2 linked regions of the Diceros bicornis minor genome follow. The protein of the gene in region 1 binds, or shares a complex with, the protein of each later gene. Links are inferred from orthologs where the notes say so. Each region holds a gene or a part of one and is shown on either strand. Other genes may lie near its edges.

Region 1 (7,977 bases):
CGGCGACCCCGCGTGACTTCCCACGTTGTGGCCCAGACGAGCCTTTCAACTCCGCCTCCAGAACAAGGCGCCGGGAGGCCCACCCCACCCCACCGGGACCCTGCCCTGCCCCGCCCCCAGTGCGCCGACGGGAGACGCCCGAGCCTCTCCCCGTCGCACCGGACAGGGAGGTGGCAGAATGACACCATGTGTGGCTGTGATGACACGGGTGCGACTGTCATCAGTCGGCTCTGGGGACGCGACTAGGCCCACGTGAAACATGCACGCACCCGTTTCCCCGTACGGATCAGGGGACGTTCGCAGAGAAGTCTAGCGGACACGGTCAGAACGTCCCTTCGCAGTATTCTGTAACCTGCACTCCTGGAGAAGCCTCACGTCCATCAGTGGGAGGTGGTTGAGTAATGTAAGACACCCGCTCTCCGCCAGTTAAAACCCCGCTGCTGACAGGGAGGACTGCGGAGGGCACGCTGTGAAGTTTATTAGACACACAGAACGAGACACACGGCACCAGTCCCGAACTTCCAAAATGACGGGGAGACAGCACGCGGCCCTGCGGGCGTCTGCGGGCTCCCAGCACACGGCTGTGGGTGTCCGTTCAAGAGCGCCCCTCGCTGCCATGTGCACGTGTTAGAACAGGGTGCTCCACGTGCTCGCATTGCACAGCATTCCTCAATTCAGCCGCCACTTACTGAACACCTATTGTGTGCCGGGCACTGTTCTAGGCGCTTGGGCCACATCAGTGAGCAAGCAGGGCAAAGGTCTCAGCCCTCTAGGAGCTCAAGGGGACACATGAAATTAAAAAGCAAATTAATAGTAGGGCTGCCCCAGTGGCCTAGTGCTTAAGTTCATGTGCTCTGCTTTGGCAGCCCAGGGTTCACAGGTTCGAATCCCAGGCATGGACCTACACACTGCTCATCAAGCCATGCTGCAGTGGCATTCCATGTACAAAATAGAGGAAGACAGGCACGGATGTTAGCTCAGGGACAATCTTCCTCAGAGATTGGCAAGGGATGTTAGCTTACAGCCAATCTTCCTCACGAAAAAAAAAAAAAAAGCAAATTAATAGTGAGGCAGCCCTGATGGCCTAGCAGTTCAAGTTTGGCAAGCTCCGCTTTGGCAGCCCAGGTTCAGTTCCTGGGTGTGGAACCACACCACTCATCTGTCAGTAGCCATGCTGTGGTGGCGGCTCACACAGAAGAAACAGAACTTACAACTATACACAACTATATACTGGGGCTTTGATGGGGGGCGGAGAAGAAAAAAGGAGGAAGATTGGCAATAGATGTTAGCTTAGGGCGAATCTCCCCCCCGGGGGAAAAAAAAAGGAAATTAATAGTATTTAGAATGTGGATAGTGCCAAGGGGCAAAAATAATGCAGAATAAAAGGGAATCAGGAGTGCTGGAGGGTCAGGGCAGACGTCAGGCATGTCCACTCCCAGGCGAGAGCAGGCCACGGGTAGCAGAGGCCTGAGGCTATGGTGGCCGCCCACAGGTGGGTTGAATGTTTCACACACTGCTCACTGCCGACCTGGCCTAATCCTGGCGGCCGCCAGGGAGCAGCACAGTGCAGATGGCGACAAGAGAGCAGCGAGCTGATCTGCTGCAAGGGGGGCCAGTTCTTTGGGGGAATAAAGTGGAGGGTTACTCAATTTGGGGATATTTGGCTGGGCTGGTTCCTGCTTGTGTAGCTTGCTGGGTGCCAATGGACAAGGGGGTCGCACCACCAACGCAGCCCTGGAGAGCCCAGTGGCTTCGCAGGGACAGACCACTAAGGTCCAGACAACCCCACCCATGAGCTCCCCCCGAGTGGGTTCAAGGTGTCAAGTTGTCGAGTGAAGACAGCCAGCAGCTCTCCTCCCCCTCGACGCAAGAAATGAGCGAGGTCCTGGGTTTCCCACAGAGGCTGCTGCAGCCTGAGGTTGGGTGAGGGTGGGTGAGGCAGAGGGGCGAGGGGGGAGGGGGGCCCCTGGGTGTACCGGAGCTACAGTCAACGTGATCGTGATTTTTGTCACATGAGCATTATATGCTCTTTGTAGAAAAACCAGAAGACAGAGAAAAGAAAATGAAGAGCGCTAGAATGCCCATCTTCTAGAGACAACTGCTCTGACATCTGTTCACGTGCTCCTACCCACTCTGTACACACATTTTTAAAAAATAAAAAATCAGATATTAGGAATGTTAGGCAGAATAATGGCCCCCAAAGGTGTCCACGTCCTAATCCCCAAACCTGTCAATAGTTACCTTCCATGGCAAAGGGATCTTTGCAGATGTGACTAAGCTAAGGGTCTTAAGATGGGGAGACTGTCCTCGATTACCCGGATAGGACCAATGTAATCATGAGGGTCCCTATAAGAGGGAGGTGAAAGGGTCAAAATCAGCAAGGAGACGTGACCATGAGGTTGGAGTGGTTGCGCTTTCAAGATGGAGGAAGGCAGCTTCTAGAAACTGGAAAAGGCCAAGAAGTAGATTCTCCCCTGGAGCCTCCGGAAGGAGCCCGCCCTGTGGATACTCCGATTTTAACCCCCTAAGACCCATTTCAGACTTCCAACCTCCAGAACTGTGAAATAAGGAATCTGTGGTAATTGTTACCGCAATAGGAGACGAACGCATTATGGAGCTGCTATAACATTTTCCTCTCAAGAACAGATCGGTATACAATGTATACAAGCTAACTTGCAGTGAACCCCACATTGTGTGCCAGCCTCTGAATGTATTCCATTTACTCAACCCGTCTTACAGGCCGACATTTCGTCTCACCTGGTTAGCTTCCTGGTACCCATCCTAGAAGGGGGGCCGGCCTGGTTCCAAGATGCCGCCCAACTGCCCTCCGGAAACGCTGCAGAAGTCCACCAGCTTTCCCGCACGCGTGTCTCCGCACCGCGTGGGCACCGAGAGGTGCCAGCCCAATAGCGCAAAGTGCCTGGACCCCCCTGCACATCTCAGCCAACCCTGAGACCACCCTGAGCCCGCGGCCCACGAGGCGCTGTTCCAGTCACGCTCTCCTCTTGCCCCCGGGAGTCGTCCACCCAGCTCCCCCAGGCCTCTCAGGTGACCTCCCAGGGCTCCTCTGACTGGGCTCCGCGTCATCACCCGGCCTGCGGTGTGCTTCTTCCCGGGCACTCTCGGAGGGGTGGCCACTGGAAGCACGTGCGAGTGTCCCTCCACCTCTGGTCGTACGTCATGGAGACCCCGTCCCCCCGTTTCCCCAATACCCCCTGGGCGACTCCTCTCTGCCAGGGCTGTCCTTCCTGGGGGTCGGTTCTTTGCGGCAACAGGCCAAAGGTTACTCAATTTGGGGAAGAAAGTGTGGCTGGGCCAGCCTCTGCTTCTGCAGCTTGCTGGGCGCCAATGGACCAGGGGTCAGGGAGAACCCCGCACTCGCGCGGACACAGGCACCCAGAGCGGACCACGCAGGCGCAGACCAGCGCGCCGCGCCGCGCCTCCCAGCGTGCCTCGGGAGAAGGGCCTGAGCGGTGCGCACGCGCGGGGGCGCTCTCGGTGCTGTGACGTCCTCGGGGCGCGCCGACGGCCTCCAGGAGGCGCCGCTGCCTCGGCCCGCTCGGCCCCGCCCCGCCCCCGGGCCCCGCCCGGGCCCCGCCCGGGCCCCGCCCCCGCCGCACGCCCCCCGCCCACACGCCCCCGCCCACACGCCCCCGCCCACACGCCCCCACGTCCCGCCTCACGAGCACGTTTCTCCCCCGGGGAGCATGGCAGCAGTACCGCCCCTGCGCGTCCATAGGCGGCCCGACCACAGCCGCCGCCGGTGAGGGCTGACCTCGACACGACGACGGACTATCACTGGCCTGGAGACCGGAGGGAGACGGCGCACTTCCGGCAGGGAGGGCGGGGGCGGGACTGGAGGGGTGGGGGCAGGGCCTGGCGGGCGAGGTCTGGCTGCCGTGTCAGGACCGGCGGGGGGGGCGGGGCCCGGAGGGCGGGGGCGGGGCCTGGCGGGCGAGGTCTGGCTGTCCTGCCGGGACTGGTGGTGGGGCGGGCCCTGGAGCGCGGGGCGGGGCGAGGTCTGGCTGCCGCGTTTGGACTGGCGGTGGGGCGGGGCCTGGATGGGAGGGCGGGGGCGGGGCCTGGCGCGCGGGGGCGGGGCGAGGTCTGGCTGCATCGTTGGGACGGGCGGTGGGGCGGGGCCGAGCCGGCGGGGGGCGTGGCTGGAGGACGGGGCCGGGTGGGCATGGGCGTGGCCAACGGGGCGGGCGCAGCCTTTGGGGGTGGACTCCTCGCGCCCACGTGGCGGCGGGGAGGAGCGGTGGTCTGGGCGGGCTGGGAAGCGTGGTTGGCGGGCGCGCTCCGTGGGCGGGCCTCGGACGTTGGGCACCGTGAGGGCGTGAAGTCGTCTGGCCGTGACGTTGGCGTGGCTGTCAGGGGGCTCGGCTCGGTGACTTGGAGCGAAGTCTGGCTCCCGAGTTTCTGCACAGCAGTCCCTGCCGAGCACCGACCTGGTCGTATAGCTGGAGAGTATACGTAGATGGATGAAGTCATAGGAACGAGGGTGGCCACGTTATTCATTAAGGCACGGTTTGTGGTCTATGGGTAGTGCTTCATGAGTCTAACATTGTCAATTAACGGAAATAGTTCAGAGTCTCGCCTGACTGCGTTCATTCGAGGATAGTTATTAACTCCTTTGTGCCCGGCTGTGTTCTAGGTGCCGGGGATTCAACGCTGAGCAGAACAGAGGAAATCCCTGGTGGGGGAAACGTGGGACGGGGAGGCCAGCCTAGGAGGGTTACCTGATGAGGGGCGTGGCCTGGCGTCCACAGGCTGACGCCAGTGGTGCTCGGCGAAGGACATAAAATGGAAAGGTGGGAGTTTTACCGAGGAGGGGAAGACTGGTCTGGCAGTAAGCAGCACGGGGAGGAACCAGCCACACTGGAGAGGGCCTTATGGGAAGCCCTGTCCCCAGGAGCGCCAGTTCCTGCTGGAGCAAAAGGGATGGGAGGTTGTTGAAGAAAAAACTGACTTTTCTTGCGGACTTACTTCTTTAAGTGCTGAAATTTCATTTTAACAATTTTGATAGAAATTGTTTAATTACAGTATTCACTTTCTTCTTTAGACAAAGTGTACTGACCTGAGTGACTCTTCTAAAACTAACTTCAACAAACCGTTTGGGAGATACTTCTGTGGGCTGGCGCCACGGCGGGTGCCTCGGAGGAGGAAGGGATGAGCCAGGCCGAGGCCTGCTACCTGGAGCTATGTTTTGGGCAATACTCCAGGTGGCAGGCGGTCACAGATGCCCCAAAGGTGGTAGAGAGGAGGGTTGTTGAGAGGAGGCAGAAGAAATCATGAGCAATGTCTTTGATTCCTTTGCTGAAATACAGTGTGCTCATGTGATATCTTGAGTACGTGCTGATGCCGGATAGACCCAGACTTCTTATCTCTATGTTAGTTTATTTCTTTGTGTTTAATGGGAAACAGCAGTCAAGGCTTGTTGGAATCTGCGCATGGGTTTGAGATGTTCTCAGGTGAATAAACATTATGAACTTTAGCGCATAAACGTTATGACTTATATTTTTGGTGCTTATTCAACAAACGTTAAGTTGTGCGCTAGTCCCCAATTCTCAGAATTGATGTTTTGGCAGATGAGGTCTGCAGATAAGGGGACTGCACGGCAGAGTTGTTCCTTACCATTTTATTAAACTGCTCTTCTGACTGTCTTTAAAGGAGGTGGCTGAGCACTGGGAAGGTGCAGGGCCTGGAACCAGCTGACCTGAGTGTGACCTTCACTGTGTGGTGACCAGAGGCCGATCTTTTGAGCGTCTAAGCTTGATCATTTTCATCTGTACACCAGGCCCACCAAGTACCTCCCTCCAGGCGGTGAAGATTCAGTGCTGGGATGCAGGTAAATGCTCAGTGCACCTGGATCTGAATATTGTTTATGCAAAGTGTGCACTGGAAAAAGTAGCTGCTTTTGACTTAGAATCTGGCTGTGGGGTTTCGAATGCATCGCAGGTCACTGGAAGGCCTCTGCTGGCCTGACTCCTGGGCGGGCTCCCTTCCCCACCACAAGAATTAGATCTTAGGAAAGCTGCTAAAATGTTGTACTTTCATTTCATTCTTTTCTATGCCATAACCTCTTAGGTTTGTTTCTTGCAATTCTCGTAAGGGTGAAGAAAACAATTCAAAATAAACGTTTGGCCCTGAAGCTGTTTGGGCCCCTTTGTGACACCCCATGGAGATACGAGGACTTGGCTGCTCTGGGGACTGGTGAGAAAACGTGGGGGAAGGCGCTCGTCAACTTTGAGACACCCCACGAAGCCGAGCACGCAGGTGACCACCATCCATGTGGCCACATCCCGCCCAGACAGGACACTGGCCACAGGGGGGGCCACGTAGGATTCACTGGAAGTCATGTCTTTATACATATTTTTGAACTTACCTGATTCACCCAGTTATGTCCTTATCGTTGTTTTTAAACCGACCCAGTTCACCTGACGGGGGATCTGGAGTGTACGGAAGTCCCCCCACCTCCAGTTTTGTATTGCCGTCCCCCCAGAGGTGACCATTCTTGCCCACTTCTCGAAGGTCCTGGCGTGCTGGGCAGTGCTTTGTCTTCCTGATCCAGTTCCAAACAGGCACCTAGTAGATGTGAGTTCCTTGCCCTTTCCCTTATTCCTCCGGCCCCGTCTAACTACACGTTTCCTGAAATAGAGAGCCTTTGGGTTGTTCCTGCCTCTTCCTCAGTGCTTGTCAGTGTCCTGACATAGGGTCTCAGGAAACAGGAATAGGGTGAGGGGCTGAAGAGGGAAACCCCAGTCCATGTTTATGAGACGCCGTCTACAGAGACCCCAGTGCTACAGGTGGACTGGTCAGACACGTGGGAGAGATGCCGCCCAGGGCGTCTTTGGGTGGGAGTCCCTGTCCTGCTCTACTTTTGTAAATATATTCCTTTTTTTGCTTTTTTTTGTGAGGAAGATCAGCCTTGAGTTAACATCCATGCCAATCCTCCTCTTTTTTGCTGCGAAAGACTGGCTCTGGGCTAACATCTGTGCCCATCTTCCTCCGCTTTATATGGGACGCTGCCACAGCATGGCCTGACAAGCGCACCCAGGATCAGCACCCCGGCAGCCAGCAGCGGAGCACGCATACTTACTGCTACACCACGGGGCCGGCCCCCTATATTCCTTTTTTATTGAAATTTAAGATACATACAGAGAAGTGTGCATAGTGTAAGTACAGAGCACCTGGGATCTTCACAGACAGCACCCAGGTAAAGTGGAAAACATGGAGGATGAAGTAGCAAGGGTTTGAGGATTAAACCTGACCAGTGGCTGCTCTGGGTTCATATGTGACTGGTTATATTGTTGACAGTTTGTTTAAGTGACGCTAGAGATGGCCAACTGAGTGTCATCCCAAGGTTTGGAAAGTAGAGCGCCCTCTGATTCATGGGTGAAGCCTGCCACGTGGCAGGACGTTCACAGTGTGGCAGGTGTAGGGAGATCTGGGCTCCTCACCTCGAGTGAGAAGGTCTTGACTTGAAGTTGCGATTTCAGTCAGACCATGAGGAAGTGGGCCAGTCAAGGGATGGTGCACGCTTCTGGAGTCCTGAGTTCCACGTTGGTCTTGGCCCAGGGGCGACGTTCTCTTCCCTCCTGTGTGGGGATGCTACAAAAATAAGATGTTCCTCCAAGGGCCTCAGGTCAGACACTGAGTCAGCCTCTGGAACTGAGTGGTGTTTGAGACAGCAGCCCGCCCCCAGGAGCTGCGCAGTGTGGGCACTGTGGGCACTATGGTGGCCTTGGCCAGGCATCTTGATGAGGCCTGGGAGGCACCTTGATGCAGGAGCTACTTGAGTTCCCGGGGCACGGGGGAGGCATGTGCAAAGGCGCAGAGGTTCGAGAGAACTGCTCTTCTGACCGCTAATTCTGCAGACTCCTTCTGCCTGTTTGTGAGCGTCATGTAGGTGGAGTTATGTTGCACGTTCTTTCTTTGCTGAGCACTGCGAGAGGGACGGTGGTCTGTGCACTG
Region 2 (7,846 bases), on another chromosome or scaffold:
AGCTGAAATGTACTTACTCTCCCTCAATCTGATAATTTCTAAATGCCTTCCAGCTCCTAAATTGAAGCTGGAAGGTTCCAACTTTCAAAGTAAGAGATGACCATTTTTCTGATTTAGTAATAACTCACTCAAAACAAGGAAAATGGAAATTTAGGATCCTACTTTCCTACATTCCTCCTCCCCATCCTGAGGCTGAGTAGGATCTTCCTGAGGTCACACTGACCTTCCTTCTGTGCCAGAGACTTTTGTATTTAGCTTCGCCCTCTGTCAGTTCACCCAGCATGACAGTGTCCCAGACTGTAGCTCCCTTTTATCTAAAATAGCCCACACTTAAAAACTTTACATTTGGCATCAAGGAACCCACAAGGAAAGGAATTATCTCAGGTCACTAAAAACCAAGAGCCAGAAGAGAAGGCACTTAACGATTCCCTTTGCTGCTCACCAAAGCTAACCAGATTTACAGTCCTCAGCCCTGGCAGGCAGGCAATCATGCAAACAGTACCTGGATGGGGACGGCTTCAGGAATCCAGGTGGTTGCAACTGTGTTTTATTGAAAGAAGCAATGAAGTGGTTAACATGGGACATACCTCACAACCCACCCTTCACCCTCCAAACCACTTGTAGGGGGAAGCCTCAGGCCAGGGAAGTGTGCGTGTGTGTGTGTGTGTGTGAGTGTGTGTGTGTGTGTTTGTGTGTGTGTGTTGGATCTTGAGTTATTCCTTGCATCCCCAGGGCAAGGAAGGAAGGAAGAGGGGAGAGACAGGTGCCACCATGATGAGGTGGTGGGGCATCTCTCTGCTCCCGGCCTCAGGTGGAGACTTCCACAGAAGCGTCCAAGTGGACTGGCACGTACGGGTTCCCCTCACAGGCCACGATGATGTATCTCTCCATCCGGCTGGTCCGGTACGCACAGTTGGGGTACTTGGAGCCGCTCGTGAGGCAGCACTCTGTGATGCGCATGCTGGAGCTGCTCTGGTAGCAGTTGGACTGCCCGTTCTTGCAGGTGACATTTTCCTGGAAGCAGATGGCCTGGACATCGGCCAGGGGCTCGTGCACAAAGGTGTTCAACAACTTGCACCATCCCTGTATCATATTCCGGCGCATCATCATTTGGTTGCAGTAGTTGGAGCTGCTGCTGGAGGTGCCGTCAGAGTCCACGTGCTGCCGCTCAAACTTCATGGCCGCTGATTCACTGCCCAGGGAAGGCTGGACCACCCCCAGCACCAGCAGCACCAGGACTAGCAATGGGAACAGGACAAGGGACTTCTCCTGAGCCATAGTGGCCTCACTCCGCCCAAGGAGCCTAGCCAGGAAAGACAGAGAGGAAGAAAAGCATTGCCTTAGAAAGAGAAGCCCCACTTCCACCTGTGGTCTTCCACCTCACAGTCTCCCTCCCACCTTACAGTCAGCCAGAAAGACATCCCTCTTCCTGCGAGCTTTTCCAAGTAAGGAGACATTCACATGTCCTCTTCTCTAAGAACATTTGACTCCCACTCGCTACAGAGGCCGTCCTCCCCTCTGGGTGGTGACCCCGGAAGTAATCTAAAACCCTGAAAGTCTTCCCTTTGAACACTGAAGAAATTTTTATCTCAAATACATTTGAAAAGTAAAATACATTTGTACTCAATGCTCAAATGTGTGCTCAAAAGTGGCTCATTAGAAGATCCTTTTGAATAAACTATTAAATAAACCAAATTTTGAAGAGGCCAAATTATATCCCTGAGATACCACCAAGTGTCATCCAGGATCATGGTTGACAGAGCCCTGTTGTCCTACAGCACAAGGGAAACTCAGCCCAGTGCCTGACACTGGCATCACAAAGGATGCTATTGTATTCCAAAGAGAGATGCTCGTCTCCCCCAACCTGGGGGCTGCTTCTTTTCCAGCCCCATGGATTCTCTGCAGCTCAAATGCTCCCTCCTGACCCAGCTCTGGCCACAGCTGATTTTTGCCTGGCCCAAGCTTTCTCAGTGCTAGCCTCACCCGCCTGGCTCCCTCCTCTACAACCCTCAAGCAGAAGTAGCTCCTGAGACCACCTCTTGGGCGGCTTACCTGGGTCTCCAGCTTGGTCTCTGAGAGAGCCGGAAGGCCAGTTTCTGCAACCAGTCAATCCCTGAGGTGTGGACATTATACAGATTACAAGGGGGGTTGGCCTCCAAGAAGGGAAGGGTGGGAGGAGCATCTGGGTCTGAGTCCGGAGGAAAGCAAGGCCATTGTGAGGAAGAGGTGAGGAGTTGCCCAGGCCACCCTCTTTTCAGGGCTGCTGGGGAGAGTGAGTCTTTGCCTATAGGAGCCTTTCTTACCATACGAATCTTATCTGTCTGCTGGTTCACAAGTAGCAGCAGAGAAAGCCACTACAGCACTGATGTCTGAATCCCCAACCAAGTCCTTGTTATCTCTTTGAGGGCCATTTTCACCAAATAGCCCTTGGAGGTTAGAAAGGACACTTAACATGTGATCATATGAGACAGAGGGAAAGGGAGATCCACTCTCTCCCCAGGAGTCCTGGAGACCCTTTGGCGGTGTTAAGGCAAAATACCCAATAACCATTCTATAGATAAGAGAGAGAGGTGAGTCTTACTTGAGCCAGAGTGAGAATTATAACCCGGGAAGGACTTTTCCAGAAAGGAAGAAAGCTTTCTGGAGAACCATGGTTTTCAGTGCAGTCTTAGATCTTTTTAGAACAAAGAACATACATTAAACACGCCCAGGATACATATTCATCCAAGTTTCAAAGAGGTATTCAGTTGCAAATCAGCAGGCCAACATGATCTCAAAGTCGGGGAAAGGGAATAACCCAGGCGTTACCGATAGGGTGTTACTAATATGGCATAGAGGGGAAGTATGCATTCTTATCTTGAGAGACCACATTGTTTACTTTAATGGTTAAAGCGGATGTACAGTGTATGTTTGATAGGCCATAAATTAGACTTCTTTAGTTCAAGCCGAATCACTTTTGAATCCGAATAGTTAACCTGTATGCCCCTATATGTGAAAATCTCTTGTCAGCTGGGATTCCACATCTCTCTCCAGCACCTCTCCTGGGGGGAGGGGGGAGAGGTGTCCAGCCGCCCCCAGCTAGAACGCTTCCCAGATCTGGAGAAGGAGGGGGAGAGTGCCTGAACAGGGAGGAAAAGAAGGAAGCCTCCACAGGACCTCATCCAGTTCTGGCCACTTCGACATTCTGACATTCCTGGGTGTTGAATGTGAGTGTGTGGTAGATCTTATCTACAGTGACCACTTATCTGGTAGGTGAGAGTTGAGTAGAGGAACGAAAGATGAACCAAAACCCAAATACCTTTTGGAGAAAAGATAGAGAACATCGTATTTCTTATCAGCAGCATCCCTCCTAGAAAGAGATCTGTTTGTACTAGGTGACAATTTTGATACCTCTGGAGTGAGAATTATCAAAATATCCCCCCACGCTCTGGATTTAGACTGTCTCAGTTCAAATTCTGGTTTAATACCTTAAGAGCTGGGCAAGTTACAGAACTTTATTTCCCTGTTCCTCAGTTTCCTCATCTCTAAAATGAGGGTAATAATATATACCTCTTAGATTTGTTTTTAGGAAGAAATAAGATAAGATGGGCAGAGGGCTTAGAGTAATGCTTTGAAAGCATCCATAAATGCTAGGTCTTATGATGCGTCATGCCAGGTGGTGTTGAGATCCTCCCAAGGAATCTGTTTAAATAACACTGAGTGATCTCTGAATCGCTTTCTACAGGGGATAGAGTCAAAGAACTGCCAGGCTTTTGTTTTGCTAAAAACCTGAGCTGAAAATAGCTGGCAGTTTTGGAGCCCTGGGGAGGGAAAGAAAGGAGAAGAGGAGAGAAGAGAGAGAACTTGAAGGGAAGAACAGAATTCTTTAATAGGAAATTTTTAAATTGTTTTGCCATATGATATCCAAGAAATTTTTAGTAAAGTAACATTTGTCAATGAGTATGAATTTGGAAGAAGTGGGGCTAAGGAAATGTGGTGTGGCCAAGATTTTAGTTTCACGTTCTCACAGTTCACCCACCACCCCACCCTCCATACAGGCTTTGTTTGTCTCTTAGTCCTTAGATGGTACTCATATCATCTGGAGTGGTGTTGAGTGGAAAACTTTTCCTCTATCCATTTATGTTCTTGGTCAGGAGGCCTGCAAATTAACCGACAAAAGACAGATTAACAGGAGAATTGACAAAGTTTATTCATATGCATATGGAGGCACACAAAAGAAGTAGTTCACTGAACAGCTAGGGATAAGAGTTTATACACTAACTTAATAGGAGAAAGAAGGGAGGTGGGTGTGAATAGGGGCTTTATAGAAAATAAATGGGTTTTTTAAAGAAAGATTAATGAGCTTTTAGCGGAACAAATGGGAGGTAAGATAGTTTGTGATGCTGTTTGTTTATGCAAGAGTGAGTGGTCTATATTCTTCCTGGCTGTAAAACTCCCCAGGAGAGGGAATTTATAGCAGACTCACTCTCAGAAGACATTGCCTTTAGTCAGATAAGGGGAGCTTTCGAAAGGCTTCTTTCTGCATCTACTGAGTCTCAAATATCTTCAGTTTAAAATAATCTTCAATCAACTCTGGGAATCCGAGTAGGTCCCTACCATGGTCAATTTAGGATTTGTTCATTCAGTCATTCAGCAGTGGGAGTACAGAGATAAATAAGTCACAGGGCCTGCCCTAAAGATACCTGATGAGATGGATTGTAACATTGGTCAGGTGAGTCCCACCGAGGTGTTGGGCATGGCTACACAAAAGTAGTCATTCTTCTGGTACCCTGCCAATGTCAGAAGAATTTCTTCAGGGAGTCGGTCCAACAAGAAGATTTCAGAATCACAATTCCTATATGAATAGGCCTTCTGTAACCCAAATAAAGTTCTTCAGTAGCCTCCTTCCCTGGGCATCCCTGACTATAAGAAGCCATTTTGCCTATTTGTGTAGACAATCTAGACAAGCCCTCGGGGTTTTAATTCACTTCATGGGAACCATCAAAAACCCATCCTTACTATAGCCTTACCCTTGACCCAGTTGCAAAGGCATGTCCCCCTGTCTTAGGGCAATAGTTGCCACTGCAATGTTGTTGATGCTTCTGCTGAACTGGTTCTAGGCTCCCTGCTCCTAGTTTCTCATGCAGTAAGACACTACTACTGACTGAGAATACACAACACTTTTCAGCCAGCCAAGTAACCCCTTAGAAGATTCTATTACTCTTTCCCTCTCACATACTGTTCACCTCGGAAACACCTGAATCCTGACACTCTCCTGCTCCTACCAGAAGAAGGGGAGCCCTGTGATCATGTTATCTCAGGTAGGGAACTTTCTGTATCCTACTTAGATCTATTAGAGACTCCTATTTATTAGAGACTTCCTATTAAGAAGCCTGACCTAACGTTATTTGTTGATGGATCATACCTCAAAACTGAAACTTGAGGTTATCAAGTGGATATGCTATCACTAACCAAAGCTCTTCAGAATATAGTCTTCTGCTTGAGGTAAATCAGCCCAGATGGCAGAACTTATTGCACTTACTAGAGCTTGTCAACTAGCCGAAGACCAGAGAATAAAGCTATATACAGACAGCAGGTGTGCTTTTGGAGAAGTACATGACTTTGGGATGCTTTGGAAACAAGCATCAAAATGGACGGCAAGTTAAGGAACTTTTAGATGCACTCCTAGTTCCTGGACAGGTGGTTATTATAGAGTGAGGCCCACATTAAAAGAGATAATATGGAAGCGAAAGGAATTGCTCTAACAGATCATTATGCCAAATAAACTGCTTTAATTAAGATTATGAGTCTATTTAAACCCTCAAAAGATAAATCTCTGGACAAATTCAAAGAGGCCGTTATAAAATATCAACATTTAGCCCCTGATTATGAAAAAGAAGAATGGAAAAAATCTGGCTGTACCCTTCACTTGCATAATCCCTGGCACTCTCAAGAAATAATCTGAATTTTACCATGAAATACCCATCACGGAATAAACAATTTGCCTACTATCTTAAATCAACATTAGTAGAGAAACTTTAAAAAGAAAGCTGAGGTTATTTTCAGGTCACGTGTTACCTGTCAACAACACAATCCTGGAAAAGTTGTAAAGGTAGCACATGGCCAGGACCAAAGCCTCAAGGGTCCTTTGGATACCTTTAGCCGCTTATCCAGCTTCCACCCACGATGCGATTTGAATGTGTTTTAGTTATTATATGTCTATTTTCAGGGTGACTTGAAGCATTTCCTTGCCAAAAAGCTACCGCCCTTATAGTCACTAAAAAGCTGCTTGATTTTATGTTTTCAATCTAGAACATCCCAACCTTTATATCAAGTGATTGAGGCACACACTTTAAGGGAACCATTATAAAAGATCTCTGCAAGTTGTTACCCTTTACTCAAAAACTACACCGTCCTTACCATTCACAATCCGCTGGAAAGGCTGAAAGGACCAATGGCATCCTTAAATTAAAATTAGCAACATTTTCAGAAACCCTTGAACTCTCTTGCCCAAAGGTACTCCTACCCACTATCCCTTATGGCCATCAGCCACTCTCTCAGAAATATATGGGTTATCCCCCTACGAACCGATAATTGGAAGGCCCACGCACTTAGGAATTTCACCTCCAATACTACAACCTGCCCTACTTGCATGCAGACATAACAAAATATTGCAAGGGACTCACGTACTGTACCCACTCCTATTGCCAACAAGTTAAGGCCACCTTCCTACAACATCTTTCTAAACAATCTCTTCATGATCTTCAACCGGGGGATTTTATCTATGGGAAGAGCCATCAGAGAAAAACTGTTCCTGAACCCTGTTGGAAGGGACCTTATCAAATTCTGTTAACTACAAATACAGCAGTGAAACTCCGGGGGAGTCAATCACTGGGTCCATGGTTCACAACTAAATCAGCAATTCAGAATTCTGCGTAACTGGAAGGTTACTCCAATACAGGAACTAAAACAGGATTCTCCGAGATCCTCCAGAAACAGCTGATCTTCAGAAGCAGACAGCTGACCTAAGACCCTTGGAACAAGCCGACAACCATGGATAATGGACCGGTTCCACACATGATGTTGGAGCAAGACTCCTGTCTAATTCCTGGTTGTTTTTTTTTTAATATGCTTGCTTATAATCTCATTATTTTCTATATACCTCTTGTTGTCATCTGCCCATAATGAGCCTTTTTCTCTTCTCTTCCTACTTTATTATAATTGTTAGGTCAGAATATACTCATTCTAAAAAGGTAAACATATGATGTGATGGATGTTTTAATTAACTCAATGGGGGGAATCCTTTCACAATGTATACATATATTAAATCATCACATTGTACACTTTAAATATCTTACAATTTTGTTTGTCAATTATACCTCAATAAAGCTGGAAAAAAAAAAACCCAAAAAGAACAAACTTGTTCTAATACCATTTTTAGATTATCCCAAACAGTAGCCACTGCCTTCAATCTTACTGACTGCGGAATATGCCACCCACCCCCAGATCCCCATGATAAAAACCTCTGGGTAATTCTGATGTCATTATATGAGACCATAGGCAATCACAGCCGATGGTGTTTCCACTTGCATCTACAAGGACAACTGACTCTAAACAAGTCAATCTGTGACTTTGCTAGTATCCCTCTCTCCCAGAAATAGAACCAATTATTATAATCTATTGTTCAGACCCTAATTCTAAATTTGAATTCAACAACCTCCCTGGGGTGATGGGCTGAACTCTTGGCACCTAGAAAAGACTAGTAGAGATCCAAATATGTAATGTAAGGCCTTGGTTCCAACCTCATGTCATGAACAACTCCTTGTTTCCTGGATCTCCACGTGCCCCTACTGGATACCACTTCCTT

What was found.
Region 2: the proteins of RNH1 (region 1) and RNASE1 are in contact, whole or in part, in a crystal structure (PDB 3TSR), measured with the Mus musculus proteins. The link is inferred for Diceros bicornis minor from reciprocal best matches to the Homo sapiens genes RNH1 and RNASE1. Residues at the interface, in NP_001165571.1 of Mus musculus: Cys7, Asp32, Thr60, Asn89, Asp117, Glu145, Tyr146, Asn174, Glu202, Trp257, Trp259, Glu283, Ser285, Trp314, Lys316, Glu340, Glu397, Ser401, Asn402, Gln426, Val428, Tyr430, Asp431, Ile432, Tyr433, Trp434, Thr435, Asn436, Glu437, Arg443; in NP_035401.2 of Mus musculus: Arg26, Glu27, Lys32, Gln36, Pro48, Thr49, Gln53, Lys56, Arg57, Met60, Asn62, Gly63, Ser64, Cys65, Lys66, Pro67, Val68, Asn92, Lys94, Asn96, Leu111, Lys112, Gly113, Asn114, Ser115, Lys116, Asp121, Ala134, Glu136, Val143.

The regions. Positions count from the first base shown.
Region 1 is NC_080770.1:333,311-341,287, forward strand, and holds the start of RNH1 (ribonuclease inhibitor), read right to left. Parts: upstream 3,173-7,977; 5' UTR 2,781-3,172; coding exon 2,758-2,780; intron 1-2,757. UniProt on the Homo sapiens protein: Ribonuclease inhibitor which inhibits RNASE1, RNASE2 and angiogenin (ANG). May play a role in redox homeostasis. Required to inhibit the cytotoxic tRNA ribonuclease activity of ANG in the cytoplasm in absence of stress.
Region 2 is NC_080744.1:28,472,500-28,480,345, reverse strand, and holds the start of RNASE1 (ribonuclease pancreatic), read right to left. Parts: upstream 3,105-7,846; 5' UTR 2,307-3,104; coding exon 2,053-2,306; intron 1,304-2,052; coding exon 808-1,303; 3' UTR 1-807. UniProt on the Homo sapiens protein: Endonuclease that catalyzes the cleavage of RNA on the 3' side of pyrimidine nucleotides. Acts on single-stranded and double-stranded RNA.